4 linked regions of the Pelodiscus sinensis genome follow. The main gene of each other region encodes a partner of the protein of the gene in region 3 in a complex. Links are inferred from orthologs where the notes say so. Each region holds a gene or a part of one and is shown on either strand. Other genes may lie near its edges.

Region 1 (7,174 bases), on a different chromosome or scaffold from region 3:
TGTGCTTACCACTCTGCCCAGTATCACCCAGCCCTTTACCCCCAGCAACCCCCATGCCCAATGGCCCCTCTCCCAGAGATCTCCATCACAGATCCCTGTGCCCAGCCCTCCTCTCATAGCTCCCCACAGTCCTGTGAGCGCTCGGCACCAACAGGGACAAACTCTCTGTGCAACATTCTGCACGTTTGATGGTCAAGAAGTCAGTGTGGAGACGCCAGCCTGGCAGTGGCAAGCACAGGCTGTATGAAGGTGAGAAATCGCCCTGCCCCCTCCCTGCCTTGACTCCCAGCCTAGCCCTGAGACTCCCTCCCTTTAGTGTGAAGGGGCAGAGCCTGGCAGCTGCAGGAACAGGGACCACACGAGGGCATCAGGTCAAGCAGTGAGAAACTCAACCTCAGCCCTCCCAGATCTCTAGCCGGACTGAAATTCCCACCCTGCTTTCCCCTGGCTCCCGTGGTGCGTGGAGGGAGGCCCAGGGCCAGGCTCACAAGGCAGGGGAAAGCAGGAGGCAGGAGGAGCCCCAGGGTGGAGCCCAGCTCCCGTTTCCTCTGGGCACCGTAAGCAGGAGGAGGCTGGTGCTGACAGCACCAAGGGAAGGCTTAAAAGCCACAAAGCAACCGAGGGCCGGGCAGGGCAAGAGGGAAGGACCAGGCAGACACGTGACCTGCAGACAGCCACCGAGACCACCCTCTGGCACAGCAAACGCAGAGCGAAGGCCACCCAGCGACCAGCATGCGGACGGCTGCTGACGCTCTGCGTCAGACGATGGTAGGAAGGCACCGGCTGGTGTCCTGTTGGATGCTGGTGGCTTGGACTCCCCTGCCCTCAGAGGCTGGCATATGGGGCCAGCTCTTTCTGCTGCCTCCTTTGTGTGACTTGCCCAGAGGCAGGAATGGGGCAAAGATGGAAACTCGAGCTGAGGGAGGCAGGGCAGAAGCTCAGAGCCACAGTGGGGCGAGCAGGCCCCCCCCTTTGTTCTGCCAGAGCCTGTGGGGGCAGTGGGCTGCAGGGAGACAGAGTCCCGCGCCTGTCTCAGGGCATCCCAAGGGTGGTTCTGGGCAGCCCAGGAGAAGAGGGGGGTTCTGGGTGGAAGGAAAACAAGCAAAGCTCTTTGGGCATGATCCAGTGCTCCGTTCTGGCCTAGATGGATGGGGGACGGTGGGCTTGGCAGGCTCCCTTTGTGGCTGACCCAGGGTGTGATTCATGGCTTTGGACGTGTTATTAGCTGCCCCATATTGTTATCAGACTCTCGGGTGTGTTTGTACAGCTCTTGCTTTCAGGGTCTGGCTGTGTCTGTCCGGCTGTCTGGTACAAAACCTGTGCTGTGTTTCTGGGTCACACTCGTAGACAGTTTGACAAGGCTCTGCCTCGCCTGCTTGATGGCCCATCCTGGCCCAACAGCTATTCAGTTGGCCCATGGAGAAAGCAGGGGATACAGCTTGAGGCTCAGCAGCATATGCAGGGCCAGGCCTAAGCACATGGAACTGATTGAACTTCAAAACATGGCGACTACATATTGTCCATGACTCTGAGCCTTAGTTATGTGCTAAGAAAGGCAGTACAAGCCACATGGCAAAGGAATATAAGAGGAGGCTGCAACTTAGAATCATAGAGTCCTGGACTGGAAGGGACCTCGAGAGGCCATGCAGATTGAGGTTGCTCTAAAAGATTCTTGAATGTGGTCAGTAGTTGATCCGTATGGCGTTTAGTGCACCAAATCAGTTCTAGTTCCTCCTGTTCCTGTTGTAAGTGCCATGGGTTTGATGGAGATTCAGGAGGATGCTAATCGAACTGTGTTAATCCACCCACAGTATTCAATCAAACACATAAGGTTGTGGCACACCCCTCCGTTAGGGAGCTGTGTCCTCCCTGTGCTGCCTCCCTGTACCTCTACTCCAATGAGGATGGGAGTCGTGGCTGAACGCTGCTAGCAAGAAACATAGAAGGGTCCACCATGACACAGCCACTGTCTTAGAGGGAATTGGCTCCAGATTACGAATTGCAAGTGGCCAGGAAATTTAACAGTTTAGGGCATGAATTATCAAACTTTAAGGTGCCCCTTATTTTGGCTTTATCATCTATTACAAAGGTCAGTCTAGACATTATAATTATGGTATCTTAATGACCAATGATTTGGTCCGGTTAATTCAGGCAATGGGGAAGCTTCAGAGGGTTAGTTCCAAAGCTATTTCCTGCACACAAATCTAATCATGGATGTGTAATGTTTGTTCATAAGCATTGCCTCCATGCCTGTGACACCACACAGCTTAAGAGCCTCCGTATTAGGAATTTTGTCCCACCAGTGCACGTGGGCAATTTTCCTCAGACAATGCACATGGAACTGATTGAACTTCAAAACATGGGGACGATATATTGTCCATGACTCTGAGCCTTACAGCAGGACATTCAGGACAACTTCCTGATAAACCACTATCTTGGTATGGAGTTTAATACCACTGTCATTCCATAGGCGTTTGATTAGTTTTCCAAAGGCAGCGCTGGCTTTGGCTAATTGAGCAGATACATTATGATCCACATTTCTGCCAGAGGACAGTACACTTCCCAGGTAGCAGAACTTGTCAACACCCTTAAGGACGGTACCAGCAGCAGCAATCACTGGAGTGCTGGGCTTTTTCCAGACCAGCTGAGGCAAAACTTCTGTTCTCTTGAGGCTCACTGTGAGTCCAAAATGGTGAGCAAAAGTAAAAAGCTCCTGTGCATCCTTCACTAAGTGCATCAGTGCACTTACTATTGACAAAATGGTGAACCAACTAATAAATTATATGGTATATTCCTGAGATACAGTGCTAGGAGCTGAGGCCTTGGTGTACTTGGTGCCTCTGTGTGTGATCCATGAGTAGCTCAAGGAACATGAATGGAATCTACCTAGCTGTGGGGCTCCACGTGCTGTTTTCCTGAGTGAGAGCAATACTTAGAGGGGTCACTAGCAAGGCTTGTGAGAGACAGCCCAGGCTGGAGAGTTAGTAGTACCCCTGTCCCAGGCTGCACCCTGGGATCCCCAAAGAGTTCCATGGATTGACTGTGAAAAAATAATTTATTTTGTCTGTTTTAAATCTGCTGTCTATCAATGTTTTAATTGGGTCAGCTTCTTGTGTTGTTAGCAAAAGAATAAATAACGTTTTCTTATTCTTTTTCCATGCCATTCATGATTTTCTAACATATCCTCCTCCCATCCTTTAGTCATTTCTTTTCCAAGCAGAAAAGTCCCAGTCTTGTTTCTCTCTCCTCATATGGAAGATGTTCCTTATCCCTAATCATTTCAGTTGCCTCTACTGTACCTTTTCCAAACCCAATTACACACAATTAAAAAAAGTGAACACATATGAAAAGGACAAATCACGTGTTCACTTTTTTTTTTAATTGTATCCTTTGGTATAGATGGTTGTGACAATTTTCTTCCACTATCTGATCTGAGGAAGTGGGTCTGGCCCACGAAAGCTCATCATCTAATAAACCATCTTGTTAGTCTTTAAAGTGCTACATAGTCCTGTATTTTGTTTATGCAGATCTGGTCACCCCATCTAAAAAAAAAAAGATATATTGGGTTGGAAAAGGTACAGTAGAGGCAACTGAAATGATTAGGGATAAGGAACATCTTCCATATGAGGAGAGAGAAACAAGACTGGGACTTTTCTGCTTGGAAAAGAAACCCCTTGTGCAACGCCGCTACGCCGATTATTTTCAGGACTAGCGGCGTTGGCAAGAGGGGCAGTGCAGACAATGGCGGCTCGTTGGGTATGCAAACGAGGCTCGGCGATATTCCACGCTTAGCCTCATTTGCATATCTCTGGTGCAAGATGGCGCCAGTGTGGGCATAACCTCAGGGGGACACTTCCCCCGGCGTCCCCCCTCCCCCCCAATTAATGAGACACAAATCGGGTCAATGCAATTGCAGGCTCAGGGGCGTGGCTAGTGGGGCTCAGGGGCGTGGCTAGTAGGGCTCAGGGGCGTGGCTAATATGTCCCTAACTTTGGTTCAGAGAATAGGGTCACCATAGTTACGCCCCCCCCCCCCCACGCTGTAGCACCGTGTCCAATAGGAGCGCTCCCTGAGCTACGGGCTCGCGTGAGACGGTCTTTTGGCGGGAAGAGGAGTGGCGCGGGGCATGCTGGGACTAGAAGCAGCACAGAACGCAGCCGCGGACTACAACTCCCAGCACACTTTGCCACGCCCAGCCCCTGCTGCGCCTGCGCACTGCATCTCCCGGGCGGCCGGTCTTTTAGCCAGCGCTGGGCTCTAGTCCCGCGGCCGGGCTGTGGCCGGGGCTGGACGAACCCTTGGCGGGTCCCCCGGAGCCATGTAACTTCCCTCCGAGTGCGGGTCCGGAACCGGAACCCGGGCAGGCCATGTTGCCGGAAGGAGGCCGGTGTCCGGGTTCCGGTTCCGGTGGGTCGCCATGTCGGTGCTGGCCTCCAACCCCAACAACCCCGTGGTCTTCTTCGATGTCAGCATCGGCGGCCAGGTGGGGGCGGGGCCGCGGGGAGGGCCGGGCGGGCAAGGGGCCGCGGGGGGCAGAGGGGGCTCTGGCGGCAGGGTGGGGGGCAGAGTGAGCTCGGGGAGGGGCCCCTGGCCCCGGGGGGCAAGGTGGGGGGGGGCAGAGGGGCCCTGGCCCCGGGGGGGCAGAGGGGCCCTGGCCCCGGGGGGCAGGGTGGGGGGGGCAGAGGGGCCCTGGTCCCTGGGGGCAGGGTGGGGGGGGCAGAGGGGCCCTGGCCCGGGGGGGGCAGGGTGGGGGGGGCAGAGGGGCCCTGGCCCCGGGGGGGCAGGGTGGGGGGGCAGAGGGGCCCTGGCCCTAGACATGGGCCTGGCGCTGACACTCTTTTCCCCCCTAGGAAGTTGGCCGCATGAAGGTGGAGCTGTTCGCAGATGTTGTGCCCAAAACAGCGGAGAATTTCAGGTAGCCTGTGGCACTTTGCTCCCAGTGAGGCAGCCCAATGCCTGGGGATCGGTCATGCAGCAACTGGCTGGAGGAGGCCCCGGCTCTCTGGCCCAGCAGTGGGGCAGTCCTGCCTGGCACAGTGCCCAGGGGGTCTGAGAAGCAATTTTAATGGAGGTTGTGTCCCTTTGAGACAGCCTTATGAGCTGCAGCCTGCAGTAGATTGTGCACTGTAGGGTATCAGCCCTCCTCTTTAACATGTGCTTTGATCATCAAGGAAATTAACTGCCTTGATAATTAACTTTTACTTTTAGATCCCTTAAAGGGAAGGGACAGGGTTAAGACTCTAAAAGCCAGGTCCACACTACTGGAGGTCAGCTTAAGGTACGCAATTTTAAGTTAAGTTTTTGTTTTTTTACATAGCTGGAGTTGACGTATCTTATGCCATACTTTGGCACTGTCTTCTCAGCAGAAGGTCAACAGGAGGAATGCTCCTGTCAACTTCCCTTACTCTTCACAAGAAATAGGAGTACTGCTGCCAATGGTGGCACCCTCATTGGGGTCTTTATTAGGGATGTAATAGTATAGTCGATTAACTGATAAATAAAAGCTTATAGGTTAATGCATTCCTCCCCAGCCCCCCACCAGTAAATTTTTTAGTAGGCTGGCCAGCAGCCCGGCTCAGTCCTGGCTTGCGACGGGTCTGGGATCTACCCCTGCTGTGGCTCTGCATTTAAAGTGTATTAGGAGCTGGGTGGGCAGGCATCCTGGCTCAGTTCCGGCTCACGTTGGGTCCAGGAGCTCAGACTCCACCCTCACACAGGGGCTGCTGCTACCCTGCACTGGTGCTGAGGCAGGAGTGCGCAGTGGTAGAGCGCTCCCCAGGAGTGGCGCTGGAGTGCACTGGCTGCTGACCCCACCCCTGGGGACTGTAGAATAGTAAAGTAACTGATAAGAATTCATGAGGTTAATCGACTGTTCAGTTATACTGTATTTACTAGGGATGTTAAAATACGTTTATTTATGTAAATGTATAACCGCTGAATTTTTCAGTGGTTACACATTTACATGCTAGCAGGCAGGTATCTCTGCAGGGATGGATGTAACCATGAACAGATTTACAGAATATGGGTACACATTCACATCTTTAGTTTTTACTGAATTGAACGATGGAAGATCGACGGCTGTAGCATCTAACTGTCAGGGCGATTAAACACTGGAATAAATTGCCTAGGGAGGATTTGGAATCTCTGGAGATATTTAAGAGCAAGATGGATAGATATCTATCAGGGATGATCTAGATCAGGGCTATGTTTGTTTTCAGCCTATGATGCAGTTCGGGTTTACGTGGGGCTCAACACGTGGCTCACGGGTGGGATCCTTTGAACGTGGCCTCCACTGGGAACGTGCTTCACAATGGCGAGGCGTCTCCCAGCTGGGGTGAGCATTGAAAGATGCAAGCGGACAGTCTGGCTGGAACAGATGGGTGCAGGGTGTCAGCGTGTCTAGCCCCCAGGAAGGTGGTGCCAGGAGCACCGGGGCATTGTGTGAAAGAAGCTATTTCCATATATCAGAGGGGTAACCGTGTTAGTCTGAATCTGCAAAATCCGTTAGTCTATAAGGTGCCACAGGACTCCTCGCTGTATTTGCATATATATTTGCATATTTGTGCAACCACACTTATGTTGCGCCACTTGGCATGTGCTGTATCATTGTGGCCCTCGTGGCTTCCAAAGTTGAGTAGCCCTGATCTGGATGGTGCTTGGTCCTGCTGTGAGGGCAGATAACCTCTCAAAGTCCTTTCCAGTTCTAGTATTCTGTGATTTTTATCCCACATCAGGTCTCCTGTAATGGAAATTGCCTAGCAGATGTAGTGGCCTTACTGCCGTATCTTCCCATCACCTCCTAGGCACCAAATTCCATGCTGTCTCCTTGTGAGATTCAATCTGCAGATTGAGCAAAACTCAGCTGTACTTCAGACTGGCCAGACTTTTACTAGTTCCTAGGGAAAGAATGCCTGACCCAAGCAGTTATTCCCACATGCTCAAAAAAGAGGAGGGCTCAACCATTTGCTCCTGGGGATATATGTGCGATTCAGAAACCCTGCAGCCCACTGTGTTCATGTTTGCCCCTTCCTCCCAAAGCATCTTTGCACACAATGCACCCGAGAGATGGCAGATTACTGACTTGGCCCACTGTTGGCTGACTTCTTCATACTGGGCAGCCCAGTGCCTGAACAGGAACATGTGTAACTTCGTCCATCAGAGACCTCCACAAATT
Region 2 (7,202 bases), on a different chromosome or scaffold from region 3:
CAAAACATGAAAAACTGACAATATGAGTAATGTTGCAAGGTAAGATAAATGCCTTCCTATCCTGGATTATACCTACTTTTTAACTCTTTATCTGTGGTCAAAGCAAAGAAGCAAACATTAAAACTAGTGGGAAATTCAACATGGATTTCAGATTTTAAAAAAAAAAGTCAAGGGTGTCAAACTGGAAACATTTTAAAAAACAAAGAAAATGTGACAGTCAGTCTGTGAAAATGACCTCAGTAGCCAATCCCTGCCCCCAAGAAAACTTACGTCAACTAGTTAAATGTAAAATGCTAATGAAGGAAAGGCAATGTATAGCTTTCACGCGACTTAGCAGGTCAAATTTAAAGTAGGGATGTAAAGAGTTAACCAGTTACTCAGCAAGCATTGGCCTTAGCAGCATGCTTACCTGGTAATTGGTTAACTGGAAGGTAGGGCCAGTGCGAGCAGCCCTCCTGAAGCGGAGCTGATTGGAGCAATCCCCCATCCGCAATGCAACAGAGCCAGCTAGAGAGGAGCCATTCCAATCAGCCACAAGCAAGCCCCCACAGCTTTTCTTTCTACTTTACTTTTGCTATAAATGGGAAAGAAAAAGAGAAAAGCACACAAATAGCCACACACACACAAAAAACAGAAACAATACTTACAACTCTGTAACATCCTCTAATACCATGTCTGAGGTCTACTGTCAAGGAAAACAAAAAACTAAAACATCCTTGATTTAATAATTTTATATTTCCATTTTATAAAAACAATGTAACTTAATTTTTAAAATAACTTCAGCTAGTGTGTAATATTTATCCATGCAAAAAGTAGAAGCATCTGTTCTAGCTAGGGATGTTAAGAGGCAAATATTTAATTAATCCAGTAGCCAATAGAATTTTTATTGATTACTCGATTTGTTGATAGGCAGCCCGGCTCGCACCAAGTGAGACACCAAGCCCCACTGCAGCTCTTCAATTTAAAAGGTAGTAGGAGCTGGGCAGTCTGCCCCCTGGTTTCTACTGCACTTTAAATTGAAGCCATAGCAGGGTTTGGTCCTGCACCTAGCGCAAGCTGGGACTCAGCCCAACCCTGTGCACCAGGGTCCCCGCAGCGAGTCAGGACCTTCTACGCACAGGGGCCGCTAATGCAAAGCAGCATGTCTGTGGCCAGGTAACCCCCCCTACCCCTGATAGAGACAGCACCGGCTCCTGCTCCTCCCTTCCCCATCTTGCTACCTATGTTCTAATAAACATAGAAGCTTCAGGGGGTAGCCAAGAGTCTGTACAGGTAAACTGAAAAAACAACAGATAGTCTGGTAGCACTTTATAGACTAATAAAACATGTAGATGGTATCATGAGCTTTCGTGGGCACAGCCCACTTCTTCAGATGACCGGAGTGTTGGATGTCTAGGACCAAAATAAATAGGGGAGACCAGGGGGGTGGGGTGTGGAAGAAAGGAAAAAATGGGAGGGGGAAGGAAGACAAGAAAAGGCTTATAAAGTAGTTGACTACTCCCTTACATCCCTAATTCTAGCTACCGGATATCCAAACAGCTAAATAATTAAGCTTACTTTAAAAAGAAAAGTGGGAATATTTGCCATTTACATTTTAAAAAGATACTGACAAAGTCATCAAATCCTAGGAGTGTGCCAACTATTTCTTTATCACTCTTCATCACAATATGAATACGTGAACCTATACATTTGTCCACAAGCTCTGCAAATAAGAAAATATTTTATGTAAGATTACATACAACTTAAAACATATATTAAGTGATCATCTTTTTAACACATTCCCTTTAAAGAACATGGTAAACCTGTACACTTTCAAAACGACTGCTCAGAACACTTACAAAAATCTTCTAGTCCCATACCCATAGAAGAGTTAAGCCAGCCTTGGGATGAGCCCTGAACCTCAGCACCCCCTCTTCTCTCCTTTCCCGGCCCCATGGGACTAGAGCTCGAGGGGAGTGAAGCTAGTGTCTTTCTCCTCCTTCTCAGTTCGGGGCCAGGTCAATGAGAGTTTCATTTATTTAGTTTCTCACTTGTGTGGCCCCCCCAACCGATTTTTCTAAGAGTCCCTCCCCCCTCTCGTTTCAGGGGCAGGCCAGGCCCAAGCCACCTAAAAAAAAAAGTGAGACAAGAGATGCCTGTTACTTGTCCATTAACGGAACCCTGCAATCAGAGTCCCAGGCAGGACCCTACTCACATCACGGGGCGTGCCCCGCACAAAACAAGACTGTGATGCCCGGCACCCCCCGCCACAGGCGCAGGGCAGAGCTGGCCACGGCTGTGTAGCGCGGGCTCGCCGCCGGAGCGACCCAAAGGAGCCCGCGCGACACCGCAAGGTGAGGCCACTTCCACTACTTCCGCCGGGGAGGGGCCGAGGGGGCAGCAAAACCCACACGCCGGAGCCGCCGCGGCCCGGCCCCATCAGATCCCCGCGGCGCCGCCGCTCTGCACCGACGTTCCATCGCTCGGGGCGGGCTGCGGCACAACCTGGCCCTGGCGCGCGCGCGGCCCCTTCCGCCCCTGGGCACAGACGTCACCGCCCTCCACGTTCCCTCGGCTTTCCAACGGCGGTAACGGCCCGCGCGACCTGCCTTCCTCCCCCCACCCCATCCGGAGAGGAGCCTCGGACTGCCCCTCCCCCACAGCGCCACCGAAAGCCGCCTACAAACAGATCAGCCTTCCCTCCGCCCCCGATCGGGGAATATCAGGGCACCCCGCGCCGCTGCGGGCCGAGGAGGGGGGAAGCTAGTTACCGAGCGGCAGGAGCTGAGACGGGTTGGTCGTGGCGTTAGCCGCCATATTGAAACCAGACCTGACCAATCGCCGCTATCGGCGGGTGGAAGAGAGAGGGGCCTCGGCCTGATGGATTGAATAACTCTGGGAGCCTCCCCCCGCAGCCCTAACCAATGGATGTCAGAGCAATCGTGCGCCCGCTTGGACGTAGCTGCAGTCTCCGGGCGCGCGCGCACAGCTGGAGCTCCTAGGCTCTGGCTGTAGAAGGCAGATGCCAGAGCCTGCTTTTCAGAGATGTTGGGCAGCATCCTACCCTCCCACTGCCTCCACGCAAATTCAATGGAAAATGGGCTTTTGGCAATGAGACTCCCTGTCCAGGACAGTTCCTTTTTTGTGGTAGCTGCCTCCGGAAATCTGCACAGGTGCACCACACATCCTGCCACCTGATGTATGGTTGGATGGGCTCAGGGTGATACTGGACATCCCAGGTTTTTATCCCTCACAGGTGGCAATACCACCTCCAATATGTAGGCCGGCCTACACTCAGAATGTCAATTGGTATACGACATCTCTCAATTCACTAGGCTGATGGGAAAATTCTAACCACCGCCTCTCAGGGAAGTAGTATAGGCAAAGCCTAAGCATTGTGGCCTTACTTTTGCATCTGGTAGCACCAGCAGGATAATGAAGGGCTCAAAGCAAATCTTATTTAATCAATTCCAGTGGCTACTGTAAACTTCAGGGAGGGTAATGAAGACCATATTTTATAGGGAAGCGTGACTTTGTCTTCCCTAGTTTTCAAAGTTTTTACATATGTGTCACCTTAGGTTTTCATTTCTTGGTTTCCCAAAACTTAAGTTAGGTGCTCTTCACATTCTCCTACGGCATAAGATGCCACTGGGCAACCTTAAGTCTGCATTAGCATTGGGTATTTAATTTGGTTAGCACTAACAATATGCATATACACACAATCCCAACTTAAAAGAATTCATGAACTAAAGATGGGACAGATACTCCATTGTGCATCGGCATCCAAAGTGCCAATACTTGAAGAGTGATGATGGTCCTAAATTCCGTGACTAGCCCTATTGACTGTGAGGTGCTGCACACCTTTCAGGAATTGTTGATGCTCGGCCACTTACAATAGCAGAACCAAAAAGACAACAAAAGTTTCAGAGAAAGAGCGCAGTGGAAGGAGCTTTTAAATCCTTTTTTATGTTCTTGTATGTTTGAAACTTAATTTTTAATTCCTTTTTATTTTGTTATTTTTGTTTTAGTCCTTCTCTTTTTGCGATTCACAAATATTTTTAAACTTTGCCTTTTCCACACTGGAAAGTTTATGAGAAAAGTTTGGTCAACATGGTGCCATCAAAAAAACTATTTCAACAGAGTGTGTTCACGCTTGTCTGTTGGTACCAGTGCGTTCTGTCCAGATAGTATCAACTTACATTACGGAAGACAAACTGCACTTTAGAAAGCCATCCTAGAGTCTTCCATGCCATCTTCCCACTGGAAATCAGAATGTATTGTGGGATACCTGCACACTTCTTAGCCCTGGTCTACTCTAGGACCTTATTCCCAAATATCCCCACCCCCCACTTCCCATCCCTGGTCAAATTTATAAGCTGTGTGTCCACACTACCAAGCTCGTTATTTCAAAAGAATGAATCACGGAATTCAAACTCTGTATTCAGGGGCGGACTGGCAATCAAAATAGGCCAAGGAAATGGGTTGAGAACAGCCGACTTTTTTACTTTTTCCACGCACACTATCTTTGTTCGTTTACACCATACTCGCACTGTTATTTATTGTCAGTTACGGAAAACCACAAACCCACAATGACAGATGATAACAGAACTCATCCAACCACTGCGTACTCTCTACTCACCGGTCAAGACTCAAGCGACTCCATCTCTGATTCCACCATTGCACAAAGCAGGCCTACGCATTGCTGTCATGCACCATCGTACATTGCACATTGCACGTCCGTTCTGTTGATTTCAACTGTAATGTGACGTCATTCACTTTGGCTCAAAGAAACAAAGGCCGAGCCAGTGTAGCAGCCCGACCATACCCGCATACACACACAGCCTCAGCCGCCTCAGATTTATTCAGAAACATTTTGAATTTTGGTATTATAGATTTTTTGGTCTTAGAACAGTGGCCTCCAACCTTTTTACACCCAAGACCACTTTTTAAATGTCAAAACAAGCCAGGATCTACCACTCCATCCTTCCCCCAAAACTCAACCCCTTCCTTGAAGCCCAGCCCTCTCTATTCTCCTCCTCTCCATTACCTGCTATCCCCAGCCCTTATACAGCTAGTCCCTAAGTTACAAACTCATCGACTTACAACCGTTCGTATCTACGACCAACCTCCTATACAGCTGGAACCCGAGTTACGAATGAAATCCGCACTTATGAACAGCGCAGCCATATGTAAGTGAATGTAATCCGACTTACGAACAGATTGAGTTATAACCTAGAGTTTGATACGTAACTCGTTCGTAAGTCAGAGACTGGCTGTACACTCTACACTGCCGGGGGTTTTTTTTCCGATTCTTCTGTAGGAAGAGGTTTTTCCAATATTTGGCCTGTCTGGATGGGACCAAATGTCAGAAAAACCCATTCTTTTGGAAGCCCCTTTATTCCTCATGGAATGAGGCATACAGGGCTTGCCGAAAGAGCATGTTTGCTCTTCCACTAAAAAAAGTGGAAGAACAAACGCATCCATGGACGCGGAAGAGTTTTTCCGGGATATCTCTGGAATCCTGAAAAAACTCCTGGGCTGTGTCTACACTGGCATGAATTTCCGGAAATGCTTAAAACGGAATACTATTCCGTTTTCAGTTTTTCCGGAAAAGGAGCGTCTACATTGGCAGGCTGCTTTTCCGGAAAAGCCCTTTTTCCGGAAAAGCGTCTGTGGCCAATGTAGACGTGCTTTTCCGGAAAAGAGCCCCGATCATCATTTCTGCGATCGGGGCTTTTTTCCGGAAAAGACTACTGGGCTGTCTACACTGGCCCTTTTCCGGAACAGTGTTCCGGAATAAGGACTTATGCCCGAGCAGGAGCAGAATAGTTTTTCCGGAATAGCAGCTGATTTTGTACAGTAGAGCATCATTGCTTTTCCGGAAATTCAAGGGCCAGTGTAGACAGCTCGCAGCTTATTCCGGAAAAGCGGCTGATTTTCCGGAATAAGTGGCCCAGTGTACACACAGCCCTGCAGTCTAACTGTACCCTCACTGGCTTGAGACAGGATATGTGGGCTCTGGGGTGAGCATGAGGGATTTGAGTGTGGGAAGGGGTGAGGGGTGCAAGCTCTGGGAGGAAATTTAGATGCAGGAGGAGGTGGAGAAGGGGATGCTGGATCAGGGAGGGGGCTCCAGGCTGGGGAGTGTTGGGGTCAGATGAAGGGGTGTGGTACTAAGTAAGCCACAGGCTTGTGGATGTGAGGGTGCAGGAATTTGAGTTGGAGTATGTCAGGGGCTCAGGGCAGGGGGTTCCAGTGTATGATAGGCTCAGATCTAAGATCTGGGGGGGAGGGGTGTGTGTGCAGGAGTGTTATGATGCTGTGGCCAGATCGGGGCTGGAGGTTGTTGGCCAGGCTTCATTTTTAAATAAAATACTATGACAAGCACAAAAAGTTTCTGCATTGTCTTTATTGATGAGAAGGGCAAGTAACCTGTTTTGAATCAGGGGTCACTGACTCACAGAAAAGTCAATTGGGCCACACAAGTGAGATGCAAAAAAAAAAAAAAAAATCTCCTCCAAAAACCCCCCAAGCCTCACTAATGTGGCCCTAACTGTGCTGGTGGGAGCAGGGGACATGGTACTAGGGAAGGGTGCTAGTGGGTACTGGGGCAGGGGACAGAGTGCCAGTGGGGACCGGGAGCAAGGTGCTGGGGTGGGGGCAGGGTGCCAGTGGGGGCAGAGTGCCAGTGGGGGACAGGGGACAGGGTGCCAGTGGGGGACAGGGTACCAGAAGGGAACGGGGAATGAGGGCAGAGTTTTGCACCAGGGCACAGGGTGCCAGTGGGGGCAGGGATTCCCCCACACCCGTCTCCTCCCGGGACTCCTCTCCCGTCCCCCTCCCCCTGCAGAGGAGGGAAAGCCCCACTGCACGCCTCCTCCGCGGACGACTCCACCCTCCCCCCCACCAGAGAGGAGAGAAAGCCCCTGCGCGCACCTCCTCTGGGGACTCCCACCACCACCACACCACTTCCCGGTATGCCACAGACCTGGGGGAGGGGAGCAGCCACTGCACTTCCAGAACCCCCGGAAGTGGCACGTAGCTGCCGGACTTCTGTCCACCCCGCAGGAAGCCACCACTACCTCCATTGTCACTGGAGGTAGGTAGTGGGACTTCTTGGGGGTGGGGGAAAATCAGAGGGGGTCCCCCAAACACCTCGCGATCGACTGGTCGAGTCCTTGCGATCGACCAGTCAATTGTGATCAATAGGTTGGTGACCACGG
Region 3 (7,246 bases):
CCCGGTGCCGGGGGGGAGCAATGCTGGAGGGGTTCCGGGGGGGCAGGGCTGGGCGGTCCCGGTGCCGGGGGGGCAATGCTGGGGGGGTTCCGGGGGGGCAGGGCTGGGCGGTCCCGGTGCCGGGGGGGAGCAATGCTGGGGAGGTTCCGGGAGGGCAGGGCTGGGCGGTCCCGGTGCCGGGGGGAGCAATGCTGGGGGGGTTCCGGGGGGGCAGGGCTGGGGGGTCCCGGTGCCGGGGGGAGCAATGCTGGGGGGGTTCCGGGGGGGCAGGGCTGGGGGGTCCCGGTGCCGGGGGGGCAATGCTGGGGGGGTTCCGGGGGGGCAGGGCTGGGGGGTCCCGGTGCCGGGGGGAGCAATGCTGGGGGGGTTCTGGGGGAGCAATGCTGGGGGGGTTCCGGGGGGGCAGGGCTGGGGGGTCCCGGTGCCGGGGGGGAGCAATGCTGGGGGGGTTCCGGGGGGGCAGGGCTGGGCAGTCCCGGTGCCGGGGGGGCAATGCTGGGGGGGTTCCGGGGGGGCAGGGCTGGGGGGTCCCGGTGCCGGGGGGAGCAATGCTGGGGGGGTTCCGGGGGGGCAGGGCTGGGGGGTCCCGGTGCCGGGGGGCAATGCTGGGGGGGTTCCGGGGGGCAGGGCTGGGGGGTCCCGGTGCCGGGGGGAGCAATGCTGGGGGGGTTCTGGGGAGCAATGCTGGGGGGGTTCCGGGGGGGCAGGGCTGGGGGGTCCCGGTGCCGGGGGGGAGCAATGCTGGGGGGGTTCGGGGGGGCAGGGCTGGGCAGTCCCGGTGCCGGGGGGGGCAATGCTGGGGGGGTTCCGGGGGGGGCAGGGCTGGGCGGTCCCGGTGCCGGGGGGGAGCAATGCTGGGGAGGTTCCGGGGGGGCAGGGCTGGGCGGTCCCGGTGCCGGGGGGAGCAATGCTGGGGGGGTTCCGGGGGGGCAGGGCTGGGGGGTCCCGGTGCCGGGGGAGCAATGCTGGGGGGGTTCCGGGGGGCAGGGCTGGGGGGTCCCGGTGCCGGGGGGGCAATGCTGGGGGGGTTCCGGGGGGGCAGGGCTGGGGGGTCCCGGTGCGGGGGGAGCAATGCTGAGGGGGTTCCGGGGGGGCAGGGCTGGGGGGTCCCGGTGCCGGGGGAGCAATGCTGGGGGGGTTCCGGGGGAGCAATGCTGGGGGGGTTCCGGGGGGGCAGGGCTGGGCGGTCCCGGTGCCGGGGGGAGCAATGCTGGGGGGGTGCCGGGGGGGCAGGGCTGGGCGGGTCCCGGTGCCGGGGGGGAGCAATGCTGGGGGGGCTCCGGGGGGGCAGGGCTGGGTGGTCCCGGTGCCGGGGGGGCAGGGCTGGGGGGTCCCGGTGCCGGGGGGAGCAATGCTGGGGGGGTTCCGGGGGGCAGGGCTGGGGGGTCCCGGTGCCGGGGGGAGCAATGCTGGGGGGGTTCCGGGGGAGCAATGCTGGGGGGGTTCCGGGGGGGCAGGGCTGGGCGGTCCCGGTGCCGGGGGGAGCAATGCTGGGGGGGTGCCGGGGGGGCAGGGCTGGGCGGTCCCGGTGCCGGGGGGGAGCAATGCTGGGGGGGGTGCGGGGGGGCAGGGCTGGGCGGTCCCGGGGGGGCAGGGCTGGGGGGTCCCGGTGCCGGGGGGAGCAATGCTGGGGGGGTTCCGGGGGGGCAGGGCTGGGCGGTCCCGGTGCCGGGGGGGCAGGGCTGGGGGGTCCCGGTGCCGGGGGGAGCAATGCTGGGGGGGTTCCGGGGGGGCAGGGCTGGGGGGTCCCGGTGCCGGGGGGAGCAATGCTGGGGGGGTTCCGGGGGGGGCAGGGCTGGGCGGTCCCGGGGGGAGCAATGCTGGGGGGGTGCCGGGGGGGCAGGGCTGGGCGGTCCCGGTGCCGGGGGGAGCAATGCTGGGGGGTTCCGGGGGAGCAATGCTGGGGGGGTTCCGGGGGGGGGTCCCGGTGCCGGGGGGAGCAATGCTGGGGGGGTTCCGGGGGAGCAATGCTGGGGGGGTTCCGGGGGGGCAGGGCTGGGGGGTCCCGGTGCCGGGGGGAGCAATGCTGGGGGGGTGCCGGGGGGGCAGGGCTGGGGGGTCCCGGTGCCGGGGGGAGCAATGCTGGGGGGTTCCGGGGGGGCAGGGCTGGGCGGTCCCGGTGCCGGGGGGGCAGGGCTGGGGGGTCCCGGTGCCGGGGGGAGCAATGCTGGGGGGGTTCCGGGGGGGCAGGGCTGGGGGGTCCCGGTGCCGGGGGGAGCAATGCTGGGGGGGTTCCGGGGGAGCAATGCTGGGGGGGTCCCGGTGCCGGGGGGGAGCAATGCTGGGGGGGTCCCGGTGCCGGGGGGGCAGGGCTGGGGGGTCCCGGTGCCGGGGGGAGCAATGCTGGGGGGTTCCGGGGGAGCAATGCTGGGGGGTTCCGGGGGGGCAGGGCTGGGCGGTCCCGGTGCCGGGGGGAGCAATGCTGGGGGGGTTCCGGGGGGGCAGGGCTGGGGGGGTCCCGGTGCCGGGGGGAGCAATGCTGGGGGGTTCCGGGGGAGCAATGCTGGGGGGGTGCCGGGGGGGCAGGGCTGGGGGGTCCCGGTGCCGGGGGGAGCAATGCTGGGGGGGGTCCCGGTGCCGGGGGAGCAATGCTGGGGGGTTCCGGGGGGGCAGGGCTGGGCGGTCCCGGTACCTGGCGATCTGGTTGCGCCGGATGTGCCGCACGAAGCCGTGGCTCAAGTCGAGCCGCCCCCCCGGCCGGCAGCCGCCCCAGGCCGGGCCCCGCTCCGCCTCCGGCCCCGCGTCCATCGGCCCCCGCCTCGCCCCGCGCCGAGAGCGGCCGCGCCGGCCCCGAGACCCGCCCCCGGCCCCGCCCGGCCGAGCCGCGAGAGCCGCCCCGGGGCTCCCCGAGTCTGCAGCCCCCGCCCCCCCGACCAGCCCCCCCCCCGCACAGACCATTCGGCGCACCCCGTGGCCCCCCGCCCCCTCATGCGCCCCCCCCGCATGGGGACCCCCCGCCCTGAGTCCCGTGTGCACCGCCCCCGTGGCTGTCCCAGCAGCACCAAAGGAGTGTGGGGGGGACCCCTGGAGCTCCTGCAGCGCCCGGCGCCATGCCCGTGGGGTGTGCTGGGCGCTGTATCTGCCCCCCAAAACCGAGCCCCCAGCCTGGGCGCAGGGCGACCCTGCCCGCTCGGGTCTGGCCTGGCTGCCCCGCTGCTGGAGCCACTGGGCCAGGCCCTGCAGGGCAGCAGCTGGTGCACCCGCTGCATCGGGAGCAGATGTCCCTCCGCCCCAGAGCCCGTCTACACTCAGCGCTGTGCTCCGGCAGGCACTGCCCGGAGGGGTTCTCTGGGGGGCACCTCCCCAAGAGGCAGCAGCTGGGTCCCCAGGATCCCTCCGGCCACATGCTCTCTGTGCCGGCGAGGGTGGCTTGAGCAGGCCGCTGGGTGGAGGAACATGGGGGCTGTGTCTAGACTGGCCACTTTTTCCGCAAAAGCAGCTGCTTTTCTGGAAAAACTTGCCAGCTGTTTACACTGGCCGCTTGAATTTCCGCAAAAGCACTGACGATCTCGTGTAAGATCTCGTGTCAGTGCTTTTGCGGAAATACTATGCTGCTCCCGTTCGGGCAAAAGTCTTGTTCCGAAAAGCTTTTGCGCAAAAGGGCCAGTGTAGACAGCTCAGATTTATTTTCCGCAAAAAAAGCCCCGATTGCGAAAATGGCGCGTCTAGATTGGCCACAGACTCTTTTCCGCAAAAGCATTCTGCCAATCTAGACGTGCTTTTCCGAAAATGCTTTTAACGGAAAACTTTTCCGTTAAAAGCATTTCCGGAAAATCATACCAGTGTAGACGTAGCCGGGGAGTTTTTTACGCCCCTGCTGGAAGCAGTTAAACCGGTTTAGTTCTCTGGTGTAGACAAGGCCTGGGTCAGAGGCTCTGGGTATTGGGAAAGTCGCAGGGTCCCCGAAGCCGATTTGAGGGACCAGGCAGGGGAGGCGCAGACACGTGTCCGGGTGGCCCAGCTGCTGCTGGTGGGAGCCCCCCAGGGCCGGGAACCCAGCTCGCAGCAACTGCTCCATCACGGGACTCCGGGAGCTGGGGCTTGCGGGGCCGGGCGGGCTGCAGGGATCGGACCCAGGGCAGGGCGAGGCGCAGCACCGCAGACCGCAGCCCCCCCCCCCCCCGGAGCAGAGCCAGGCCGCACAGCTCCCAGCGCCAATGAGCGCGCTATCAAGGGGGACTGTCTCTTTAAATGCTAACTCCGGGAATGGCGGCGGTCGGCCCATCTCGCAAACGCTGGTCGGAGAGCAACCAACGCGCATGCGGAAAGGGGCGGGTAGCGTCTGACGATAGGACTGCGCAGGCGCCAAATTGATCCTCGCGCCTTCCTCTGGTCGTCTGTGCGCACGCGCCTCTCAATGCACATGCGCCACTGGGCGGTGCGCGCGCATGCGTGTGCGGCCGCGCGTGCGCAGTGCCGGTTGGGTCGCGGCCCGGGATGTCCAGCCGGGCGAAGCGGGAGCGGGAGCGGGAGGCCCGCGCGTCCACGCGGAGCTCGGCCTCGGGCCGCAGCAAGCGGGAGTCCGCGGGGTCGCGCAGCTCGTCCCGAGCGAAGCGCGAGGCGGAGCCCGAGCGGGTCCGGGTCAAGCGCGAGCCCGAGGACGGGCCGCCCCGGGTCAAGCGGGAGCGCGAGGCCGAGGAGGAGCCGGAGCCGGAACCGCCAGGTGGGGGCGGGGCGGGGCGGGGGGGCTCCTGGTCTGTAGTTGGGGGGGGCTGGGGGCGGGGCGGGGGGGGCCCTGGTCTGTAGTTGGGGGGGCGGGGCGGGGCGGGGGGGGCCCTGGTCTGTAGTTGGGGAGGAGGCTGGGGGCGGGGCGGGGGGGTCCTGGTCTGTAGTTGGGGAGGAGGCTGGGGGCGGGGCGGGGGGGTCCTGGTCTGTAGTTGGGGAGGAGGCTGGGGGCGGGGCGGGGGGGTCCTGGTCTGTAGTTGGGGGGAGGCTGGGGGCGGGGCGGGGGGGTCCTGGTCTGTAGTTGGGGGGGGGCTGGAGCTGGGCCAGGTGAGCCAGGGACTGCATTGCTTTCACGCAGGCACAACTTCAGGCAAACGGCTAATTCCTCGGCCGGGCAGTTGATGCTTATCCATGTGGTGTGTGTGTGTTTGTTCCAGTGAGGTACGGCCGATTCGACCCCGAGGACCGGCGCAGCAGACACTGCCCGTACCTGGACACTATTAACAGGTCAGCAGAGACAAAGCACAGGGTCCTAATACGTCCGTGTCTGTGAGAGTGGCTGGTACCCACGAAGAACCCCAAGCGTTCTCTGGATTAGCAGTCTCAGCTGGTGCTACAGGGCTGGAGGGAGCTGCAGCTGCAAAGGTCGAGCAATGCCAGCCGGAGGGGCAGGACTGGAATAGCAAGGGATGCTGGATGGGTTGAGCTGCAGTTCTGATTTTTAAATTGATGTGGGATCTTAGTTCCTGTGAGAGCCCAGAAATGGGGAAAGGGGATCCCTCATATTTGAGGTATAGCCTGCCAGCACTGTGGCATGGATCAGCCCTGATCAGTTTTCTGTTGACCTTGGTTCTCATGGACTCTGTCAGGTTTATGAGAAGGTAGGACTGGCGGGGACCTTCTAGGTCAGGGGTTGGCAACCTACTGCACTTATGGCATGCAGCGGAAGCTCCGCTCCCTCCACCCTACATGTATGGCGGTCACATGTTGGGCGGCAGCTGCTCTGGTGGCCTGGCCGGGGCCAGAGCCAGAGGGCACGTGTCAGACAGTGACAGCCCCTTTGGCCACTGCCAGGGTGGGGGTTGATCCTGCCAGGGTGGAGCCTTCCTTCCTGTGGCATGCCAGAGCCCCCCAGAGAGCTGGAACAGCCCATTGACCGTAAGTAGCAAGCATCACCCATTAAGGGTGATGTTAACCATTCACATCCCTGTTTTGAATAGGAGTTTAATAGTTGGGCTTTATTGGTTTATGTTGATGTGCATGTGCACGTGCTAGGTTGGCTTTTGTTTTTAAACTGCCCAGCTGGTGGCCTTTTCTAAGCTTTTAAAAGATTTTAAGTAAGAAGTATTATTTTTTGCATTTCATAGGAATACTTATAATTATTTTAAAATTTTTATTTTAATGATAATTTTATTGTTTTAGTTGCTTTATAAGTGACAAACGGATGTAGGGTGTATATTTTGGGTTTCTCTTTTTATGTTTACCTTTTTTATGTTTAATATTAAACGTTGTGGAAAAAAAAAATGAAACCATGAAAGCATCACAAGAAAAGCTGGAGCGGAGCCCTGGGCAGGAGACCAAGCAGGGTGCATGGTGGAGAGAGCCCCTCCTCCCCTCCCAGGAGAGTGGCGTGGCCCAGGGCAAGAGGGTTAAATCTTGGCACGCTGCTTCAGAAGGGTTGCTGCCCCTGTTCCAGGTCATAGAGTCTAGACCCTACTTCCGTAGGCAATATTAGCTTGTCTGTTTCATGGTCGTTCTGCTAACTCGCTATTAACCTGCCATTTCAGGAGCGTTCTGGACTTTGACTTTGAGAAGCTGTGCTCCATCTCGCTCTCGCATATAAATGTCTATGCTTGTCTGGTGTGTGGGAAGTACTTCCAGGGTGAGTGCATTCCCGTAGACCTGCCTCTGCAGCAGCAGAAGCACTGAACTGGGCTCTGAACACTTGGGGGGCACTTAGAAGGACATTCAATTTATCTTAAGTGAGAATTTGCCTTTTCCTGTGGGCCCTGAATTTCTAAAGCTATTTTCCATTCAAATTATTGTCAGAATATCAAAGAACCTTTTCTTAGCCATTACTGTGGCTTGTGCAAGGGTTATAGCAAATGTGCGTGACTGGCGTGGATGTATTGCTCATCTGAACGTGTGCTTAGCTCATGCCCCTGCTGTTCTGTGGTTCCTTCTTTGCAAAGTCCCCTTGCAATCAACAGGGCCTGTGTCTTATTTCGTTTTAGTGACACCATGTGGGGTTCAAAAGAAAGTAGCATGGTAAATAACTGAATGTTAGAAACTAATGATCAGTGGGAAGTGACAGGTCTCCCATTTTAATAGTAGTAGAAATCCTGCGACTGGATCCCGGGGTTCTTGTAGCTAAATCCCAGCCTGGATTGTGGAAAGCTACCTCTGAGATGTTTGAAGATTCATCTTCCATCAATGTACCAACCCCTCCCCCAAAAATAATTCCATTTCCCCCTCAAGGACTGTTCTCTGCTGTGTTAGATGCTCAGAGAATTCTAGCTTATTCCTTCTGAATAGCAATGCAAGTGGGGCATGGAAGTAGCTGAGATTCTCCCTTGGATTG
Region 4 (7,390 bases), on a different chromosome or scaffold from region 3:
GGATGACTAAATGTTATCTGGATCTTTTTGGGTCATATCAACAGATTGTTTTGGGCTTAATCCTAGATTAAAATTTAAATTGTATTAGGCCCTTTGTAAACAGGTTGGGAAGTGGTCTCATTTGGCAATTATTATTCGGTATTATTTACATAATATACACATTGCCATCTTGGTATTTATGTATACATTTCTCAGTACCTTTACATATAAAATAGCCCAGCCCCATTGACCTCCATGGGCAGTGTACCTTGTAAGGAGTGATGGGGATATGATGAAGTTGTTAAAACAAATATGTTGCAATTGTAGAAAAAAAATTGTGTGTCTGAAAACTGTAGGTACTGGGGGTATTTATAAATTTTTTAAAAGGGATACTTCATATAACAAAAAGGTTTAGAAACACAGCTCTAAACCATTCCTTTTGGCTCCCCCCTCCCGTTTCCTTTCTCCTTTGACAAGTTGGGCAGGTAGCAGTTTTGCTAAAAATGTATCTGACATGTGCATGTAGTGCACGCTCTACCTCAGCTGATGCTGGATGATCAGAGCCTCAATTGTAAAGGAATTGGCATTATCAAGATGATCAATCCTCCCACGTTTTGTTGTGGATTTTCCAAAGAAAATTCTGGTGTTTTCTATAGGTCACCCACATCTCCCAGTCATAGCAGAGACTTGGGATTAAATATGACTTTCTCAACTAAAAGTCTTATACATGTTCGGATGCTGTGATTGTAAACACCTGGCGAGGCAATCTGCCAAAGGCAAAGCTGGCTTTGACTCTTGATATTTATGGCTTCAGCTGAATGGCTTGTGTGAAATTTGGAAGAGCAGCTCAGAGAGACCTCTCTCCTTTACTTAAAGATAGAATCTCACAGAAGCCTGAAGGAAAAAGTCCTCGTGGCAGACAGAAAGCCTCGCTTGCAGTGTATCCTCAGCCTTAGGCTACTTATTGCTTCAAGAAAGCGAGAGCAATTCTCGTGTTGTGTGTTAGTTTTATTTAAAAGATTTTTTCTGAGTGTTATTTTAACAGGTAAATTAATCTCTTACGTTCACTGACTTAGCAAAGGAGGTGTGGGAGGGTAATTGCCATTCTGCTCCCCCTATCATACCTCTGTTCACCTGCTCCTCCTCTATCTACCACTGCCTGCTGAAGCCTCCTTCCTGCCTCTGCACCCACAGCCCGACCTTCCTTCTTCTTCAACGGGGGGATAGTGCCCGCCCCAAACTGGAGGGGGTAGGGAAAGATGTGGTACGAGCTCCCCCGCCCCCGTCGGGCTGAGCTGTGCACCAGGTTCGGGCCCCTGTCATGTGGTGGTGGAAGGGTGGCGGGTGGCATGCAAATTTTGCTTTTGCCCCATGGCGCATAACACCCTCGCTATGCCTCTGCCCCGATAACAACAGTGCACACCTGGTTACAGAGCTCTGCAACTTTGTTCTCACCCACAACTACTTCCAGTTCAGAAACAATTTCTATCTCCAAATTAGCGGCACAGCCACAGGCACTCGCATGGCACCACAATATGCCAACATCTTTATGGCTGACCTTGAACGTTTCCTCAGCTCTCGCCCCCTAATATCCCTACTTTACGTACACTACATCGATGACATCTTCATCATATGGACCCACAGAAAAGACATTCTTAAATAATTCCACAAGGATTTCAACAACTTCCACCCTACTATCAACCTCAGCCTGGGCCAGTCCACAAGGGAAATCCACTTCCTGGACACTACAGTACAATTAAATAATGGACAAATTTCCACCACCCTATATCATAAATCCACCGAATGCTACACTTACCTTCATGCTTCCAGCTTCCATCCCAGACACATTTTTCAGTCGATTGTATACAGCCAAGCCCTACGATACAACTGGATTTTCTCCGACCCCACCGACAGAGACAATCACCTACAGGATCTTTACAGAGCATTCCTAAAACTGAAATACTGGGGAAGTGAAAAAACAAATTGACAGAGACAAAAAAAATACCCAGACATGAACTACTTCAAGACAGGCCCAAAAGAGAAAATAACAGAATTCTTCTTGTTACCTACAGTTCACAACTCAGACCCCTCCAACACATTACACACAATTTACAACCCATCTTGGAAAATGATCCCTCACTCTCAGAGGCCTTAGGAGAAAAACCTATTCTTGCTTACAGACAAACCCCTAACCTGAAACGTATTCTTTCTGATAACTATGCCACACAACCACATCATAAGCCTTTAGGAACCCAGCCCTGCGACCAAAAAAGATGCCAACTCTGCCCACATATCTACACTGACGAATTCATAACTGGAGCAAACAACATAAGCCACAAAATCAAAGGGTCATTTGACTGCACATCTAGTAATTTAATCTATGCCATCAAATGCCAGCAGTGCCCCACTGCAATATATATTGGACAAACAGGACGGTCTCTGCAGGAAAGAATCAATGGACACATATCAGATATACGTAAAGGGAACATAGAGAAGCCTGTTAGTGAATATTTCTGTTTGCCTAACCACAGTTTTACAGACCTGCAAGCGGCTGTCTTGTCACAGGCCAGCTCCACAAGCCAGATACATAGGGAAGAACTGGAATCACAGTTCATCCACAAATTCAGTTCACATGCTAATGGACCCAATAGTGATATGGGCTGGCTAGGACACTACCTACTTAGTATCCATTGAAGGTGCTAACAGCTCTCTGAGTGGTATCCTTCCTGTCTTAGCAATCTTATCTATTGACTTTGATTTTTTATCTGCTTAGGTTTAAGTACCCATTCTCCAGATACTTAATGATGCTCTGTCTCACATCCCCCCTTCCTTTTTTCTTTTTCTCCCCCTCCCCTCTCCTATTTATTTCGATTTTTCATATCCCCAACTCATAACTCCCATCATCAGAAGAAGTAGGATGTCCCCACAAAAACTCATGATACCATCTACATGTTTTGTTGGTCTATAAAGTGCTACCAGACCATTTGTTGTTTTTTCCCCCTCCGAATGTGCCACAATTAGGTCACTGAGATCAAGTTAGCATGTAGCCTGACAGGAGGCTGCTACCTGCCTGAGATACACAGATAAGAAAATGAGTAAGGCTACAACACAGAGCTCCCAAGGCCTGCATTTAGTGTCCATACTGAGGCCACCTGATACTGAAGAGGAGAGTTTTATTCTGCCTCCAATAACATTCAGGTACCTCTGTAACACTTCCATCATAGCAAGAATTCTTCCTAAAAGATAGTCAAGGCTAGTGATTCTCACAACAAGCATTTTGGTGGCCTCAGATTGTGGCCATCAACTCTTGCTGGTGGTCATGCTAACATCTTTCATAAAATAAGAAATTAATGTAAACAGGGATTTAAGTAATTTAAAATTTATTACAGGTACTGTCTATGGAAACCTGGGTCCCTGCCAGCTCTTTGAATAGCTCCTTGCTGGCTTTTGCTGCAGCTCAGCCAGCTGTTGCCAGAGCTTAAGCTTAAGTTCACTTCTGAATTTAAGAAAAAACAAATTAATATACACACGTTTGCACATCCAGATCATTGCAATGTATGTATGTAGGGTTATTTCGCAGACGTAATAATAAACAAGTACTGTGATCAGTGATATTTATATTTGTTTAATAATCACTTTTCGCCAGACACCTGATAGCCACCTGGGAGGCTGTGAAAAAGGATAAGGGATATTAACCTACATACAAGTGTCACTTTTCACAGCTTCCCAGCAAACTAGTGTGTCTGCTGAGAAAAGCGGTACTTGAATGTTTAACAACAGCACTTTCCTCAGGACTAATTAAACCCTGGACAGGGGCGAGGGCCTGAGGGGGGCGGTGGGGGCGGCAGTGGGGCCCATGGCGGAACAGATGCTGGGCTGAGGGCGCAGCGGGAGCCCGGGGCAATGGGGTGATGGATGCAGGTTGGGGGGCTGAGCCCCGCCGCCGTCTGGAGCCGGGGATTGGCGCCCGCTGCCATGAGATGGGGGGAGGGGTCAGTGCCCGCGGGCCGGGCCGGGGCCAGAAGCTGGAGTTGGAGGCTGGGTCAGAACTTGCTGCCGCCTGGCCAAGGCGGTGGGGCGGGGCCTGCCCAGCGAGCCCAGAGACAAGCCGGGCGCCGCGCGGCCCAGGAGCTGAACCCGGAGCCCGACGTGCCGGAGCCCAGAGTCGGCACCGGCAGCCAGGGCTGGAGCACACGGCTGGGGGGTGGCCAGGATCCCGCCGCCCAACTACCCGGAGCCTCCATCCCGCCCCCCAGCTCCTTCAGCCTTGCGTCTCGCCTGGCTTCGCGGGGGAGGGGCCAGCGCTTTGCCCAGAGACTGTAACGGCCGCAGGAAACGCCTGGCGGCCACCGCAAAAAACACAGCCCCCCCCCCCCCCAACTGGCGTCATGCGCGCGCGTGCGCAGCGAGGCGAGCCAGCGGCGTCTCTGAACGTTTGGCGCGGGAACCCGCGAAGTCTCGCGGGAAGCGGTTGAGGGCCCGGTGCTAGCGAGAGCGCGGGACGGATCCGTCGCTGCCATGACCTCGGCGCTGGAGAACTACATCAACCGTATCCTTCCGCCGGCGGGGGCGGCTGGGGGGGGATTACAGCGCCCTGCTCCCCCTTTCCCTGAGGGTCTCGGCGGCGACCTGTATGGGAGGCTCCCCGCCCCGTGCCGGCCGGCTCAGCTGGTCCGGGCTGTGCGGGGATGGGGCTGAGCCATTGCTGCTCACGGTGCCTTGAGAGACCTCCCGGGGACGCCTGGCGTGGGGGCAGCGCGGCCTAGTGGGCAGAGCACTGAGCTGGGACTTGGCTCTGCCCAGTTAGGTGCCATGGGGCAAGTCGCTGCCAGTGCCTCAGTTTACCCAGTTGGAAAACGGGGACAATGAGAGTGACCCCGGCGGGGCTCCGAGGCTGAACACGCAGCTTGAAACGAGGGCAGGAGCGTTTAGTTGTCAGGGTGATTGTCTCACAGACCAGCCAGGGATGCGCCCGAATCAGCATCTCGGGGTGTTTTGAAGGGAAGACTGTTCGTTACTTGGAGTAATGTGCCCAGCACAAATGATGGTCAGTACGGGGTGAGCTGGGACCTGCAGATCAGACTCGTTACTCTAATGATCCAATTCTGGTCTTACATCTAGTGAATCTGTAGTCCAGAGTCAGAAACAGAGATGGGGGGGCATAACCAAAACTCTTTAGGGAGTCAGCCTAGACAGGGTGGCTGACACTGGCCAGGTGACAAAGAAAAATGCTTTCCTCAATATTTGGGGGTCTGCTGCTTTCTGTGAGTACAATTAGTGGACATGGGACAGGAAAATATCATGAGGGCAATGTGGGATAAACCTTTAGTTCCTCCTCATCTGACTCCTTACATTTGAACAATCAGTGCCTTGAGTTAAAGGCCACTTTGCTATACAGGCAGTCCCCGGGTTACGTACAAGATAGGGACTGTAGGTTTGTTCTTAAGTTGAATCTGTATGTAAGTCGGAACTGGCGTCCAGATTCAGCCGCTGCTGAAACTGATCAATTTCAACAGCGGCTGAATCTGGACGCCAGTTCTGACTTACATACAGATTCAACTTAAGAACCCCAGGCATCCCCAAGTCACCTGCTGCTGAAACTGATCAGCGGCTGATTCCAGGAAGCCTGGGGCAGGGGCTTCCTGTAGTCAGCCACTGGTCAGTTTCAGCAGCGGCTGACTTGGGGACGCCTGGGGCAGAGCAGCTGGGGTGCTGCTGGGTTGGTCCAGTAGCGCCGCCGCTCCTCGGCGCTACTGGACCAACCCAGCAGCACCCAAGCTGCTCTGCCCCAGGCGTCCTGATTCAGACGCTGCTGAAACTGACCAGCAGTGGCTGAATCAGGACGCCTGGGGCAGAGCAGCTGGGGTGCTGCCGGGTTGGTCCAGTAGCGCCCAGAGCGGCGCTACGGGACCAACCGGCAGCGCCCCAGCTGCTGTACCACAGGCGTCCGGAGCAAAGCCGCGGAGCCCGGGGGCAGCGGGACAGCCCAGACACGCCGTGGCTGTCCTGCTGCCCTTGGGCTCCTTGGCTTTGCTCTGCTTTGCTCCCCGTCTCCCTGGTCTGCAGACCAGGGGGACGGGGAGCAAAGCGGCGGAACACGTGGGCAGCGGACAGCCTCCGCCGCTTTGCTTCCTCTTCCTGGTCTGCTGGAGACCAGGGAGACAGGCCCCGTTCGTAACTGCGGATCCGACATAAGTCGGATCCGCGTAACTAGGGGACTGCCTGTATAGTTCTCCAGCCTTTAGGGAAAAAGGAAAACAGTGTGATGCTGGTTTGACCAAACAAAAAAAATTACCTAGATGACTGCTAATTTCAGAGGTTGATTTCATCACTCAGTTAACAGATTTCTTTAACAATTTTTTGAGTAAGAAATTCTTAAGGAACAGAGTCTAATTTCTTGCCTCATAATTTATATTACAGATTTTGTTGAACTTAACATATTGTTTCAAGCTGTGAATATATATATTTTGAAAGATTTCCTTGACTATACTGTTAGGCACTGTAGCAGTTATTACTTCTGATGGAAGAATGATTGTGGTGAGTATAAATTAGTACTATGCAAATAGTGTTGCTTGGAGTATGTGAGTTTTTAGAAAACAGAACATTCAACTTCTAATGGCAGATGCTACAAACAAATAAAGCTTGGAAACAGCTCATCTTGAACATTTCTCATCTTTCATACAGAACCTAAGTAATTTTTTTTATAAAAAGAGACATCACTTTTAAAAGTCTGTCAGTTTAAAACAAACAAGGAAAACTACAGCAGAAATGGTGAAACTGGCTATTTGTAAGGGGCTCTCTACTGCACAAAGTATGCTTGAAAAAAGTGACTCATATTCAAGTTACACTAATCTTAACTCCTTGCTACTTGTAATACATGATAGTAAATAATTGTCTTAAACTGACTCTGTTTTCAAGTTCCAGTCTCTAACAGAGTATGTGTTTATTCAGCTTTAAAACTCAGAATAAAATCTGTTAACTCTTCTATAATATACTGCTACCTGGGATATGCTTGTGACCTAAAATGAGAAACTTAAAGATAATTGGAATTCAAAATTTTTGTGCACTTTTTAGGGAACCCTCAAAGGTTTTGATCAGACCATCAACTTGATTTTGGATGAAAGCCATGAACGGGTGTTCAGTTCTTCACAAGGAGTTGAACAAGTAGTATTGGGACTGTATATTGTTAGAGGAGATAATGTGTAAGTACAGCTGCTGCTTTTTTCTAAACCAGTCAAATCACAATTAGTTAATGTTATAAATTAAAGCTGTAGTGATGCAAGATGTCAGGTTGATAGCCCTAGAAACCCTAAATTATTTTTACTCACATGTTCAGAACATACGGTAACAGCAAACCTGCCTTGGCCTTTGATGTAGTAGGCAAACATCTCTAGAATGACTAAAATAGTTG

The links.
Region 1: USP39 (region 3) and PPIH share a complex: the UniProt entries of both Homo sapiens proteins name them as parts of the U4/U6-U5 tri-snRNP complex. The link is inferred for Pelodiscus sinensis from reciprocal best matches to the Homo sapiens genes USP39 and PPIH.
Region 2: USP39 (region 3) and LSM5 share a complex: the UniProt entries of both Homo sapiens proteins name them as parts of the U4/U6-U5 tri-snRNP complex. The link is inferred for Pelodiscus sinensis from reciprocal best matches to the Homo sapiens genes USP39 and LSM5.
Region 4: USP39 (region 3) and LSM8 share a complex: the UniProt entries of both Homo sapiens proteins name them as parts of the U4/U6-U5 tri-snRNP complex. The link is inferred for Pelodiscus sinensis from reciprocal best matches to the Homo sapiens genes USP39 and LSM8.

What each region holds. Positions count from the first base shown.
Region 1 is NC_134733.1:3,182,952-3,190,125, reverse strand, and holds the start of PPIH (peptidyl-prolyl cis-trans isomerase H), read left to right. Parts: upstream 1-4,166; 5' UTR 4,167-4,417; coding exon 4,418-4,483; intron 4,484-4,850; coding exon 4,851-4,915; intron 4,916-7,174. UniProt on the Homo sapiens protein: PPIase that catalyzes the cis-trans isomerization of proline imidic peptide bonds in oligopeptides and may therefore assist protein folding. Participates in pre-mRNA splicing.
Region 2 is NC_134712.1:171,654,155-171,661,356, reverse strand, and holds the start of LSM5 (U6 snRNA-associated Sm-like protein LSm5), read right to left. Parts: upstream 3,008-7,202; 5' UTR 2,797-3,007; coding exon 2,751-2,796; intron 2,687-2,750; exon of another isoform or gene 2,663-2,686; intron 2,584-2,662; exon of another isoform or gene 2,391-2,583; intron 2,385-2,390; exon of another isoform or gene 2,195-2,384; intron 1,703-2,194; coding exon 1,607-1,702; intron 676-1,606; coding exon 648-675; intron 1-647. UniProt on the Homo sapiens protein: Plays a role in pre-mRNA splicing as component of the U4/U6-U5 tri-snRNP complex that is involved in spliceosome assembly, and as component of the precatalytic spliceosome (spliceosome B complex).
Region 3 is NC_134738.1:5,400,028-5,407,273, reverse strand, and holds the start of USP39 (ubiquitin carboxyl-terminal hydrolase 39), read left to right. Parts: upstream 1-4,230; 5' UTR 4,231-4,437; coding exon 4,438-4,663; intron 4,664-5,102; coding exon 5,103-5,172; intron 5,173-6,452; coding exon 6,453-6,547; intron 6,548-7,246. Other genes in the region: C28H2orf68 (UPF0561 protein C2orf68 homolog), read right to left, coding at 2,633-2,748.
Region 4 is NC_134711.1:44,603,715-44,611,104, reverse strand, and holds the start of LSM8 (LSM8 homolog, U6 small nuclear RNA associated), read left to right. Parts: upstream 1-4,382; 5' UTR 4,383-4,497; coding exon 4,498-4,528; intron 4,529-6,475; coding exon 6,476-6,516; intron 6,517-7,053; coding exon 7,054-7,181; intron 7,182-7,390. UniProt on the Homo sapiens protein: Plays a role in pre-mRNA splicing as component of the U4/U6-U5 tri-snRNP complex that is involved in spliceosome assembly, and as component of the precatalytic spliceosome (spliceosome B complex).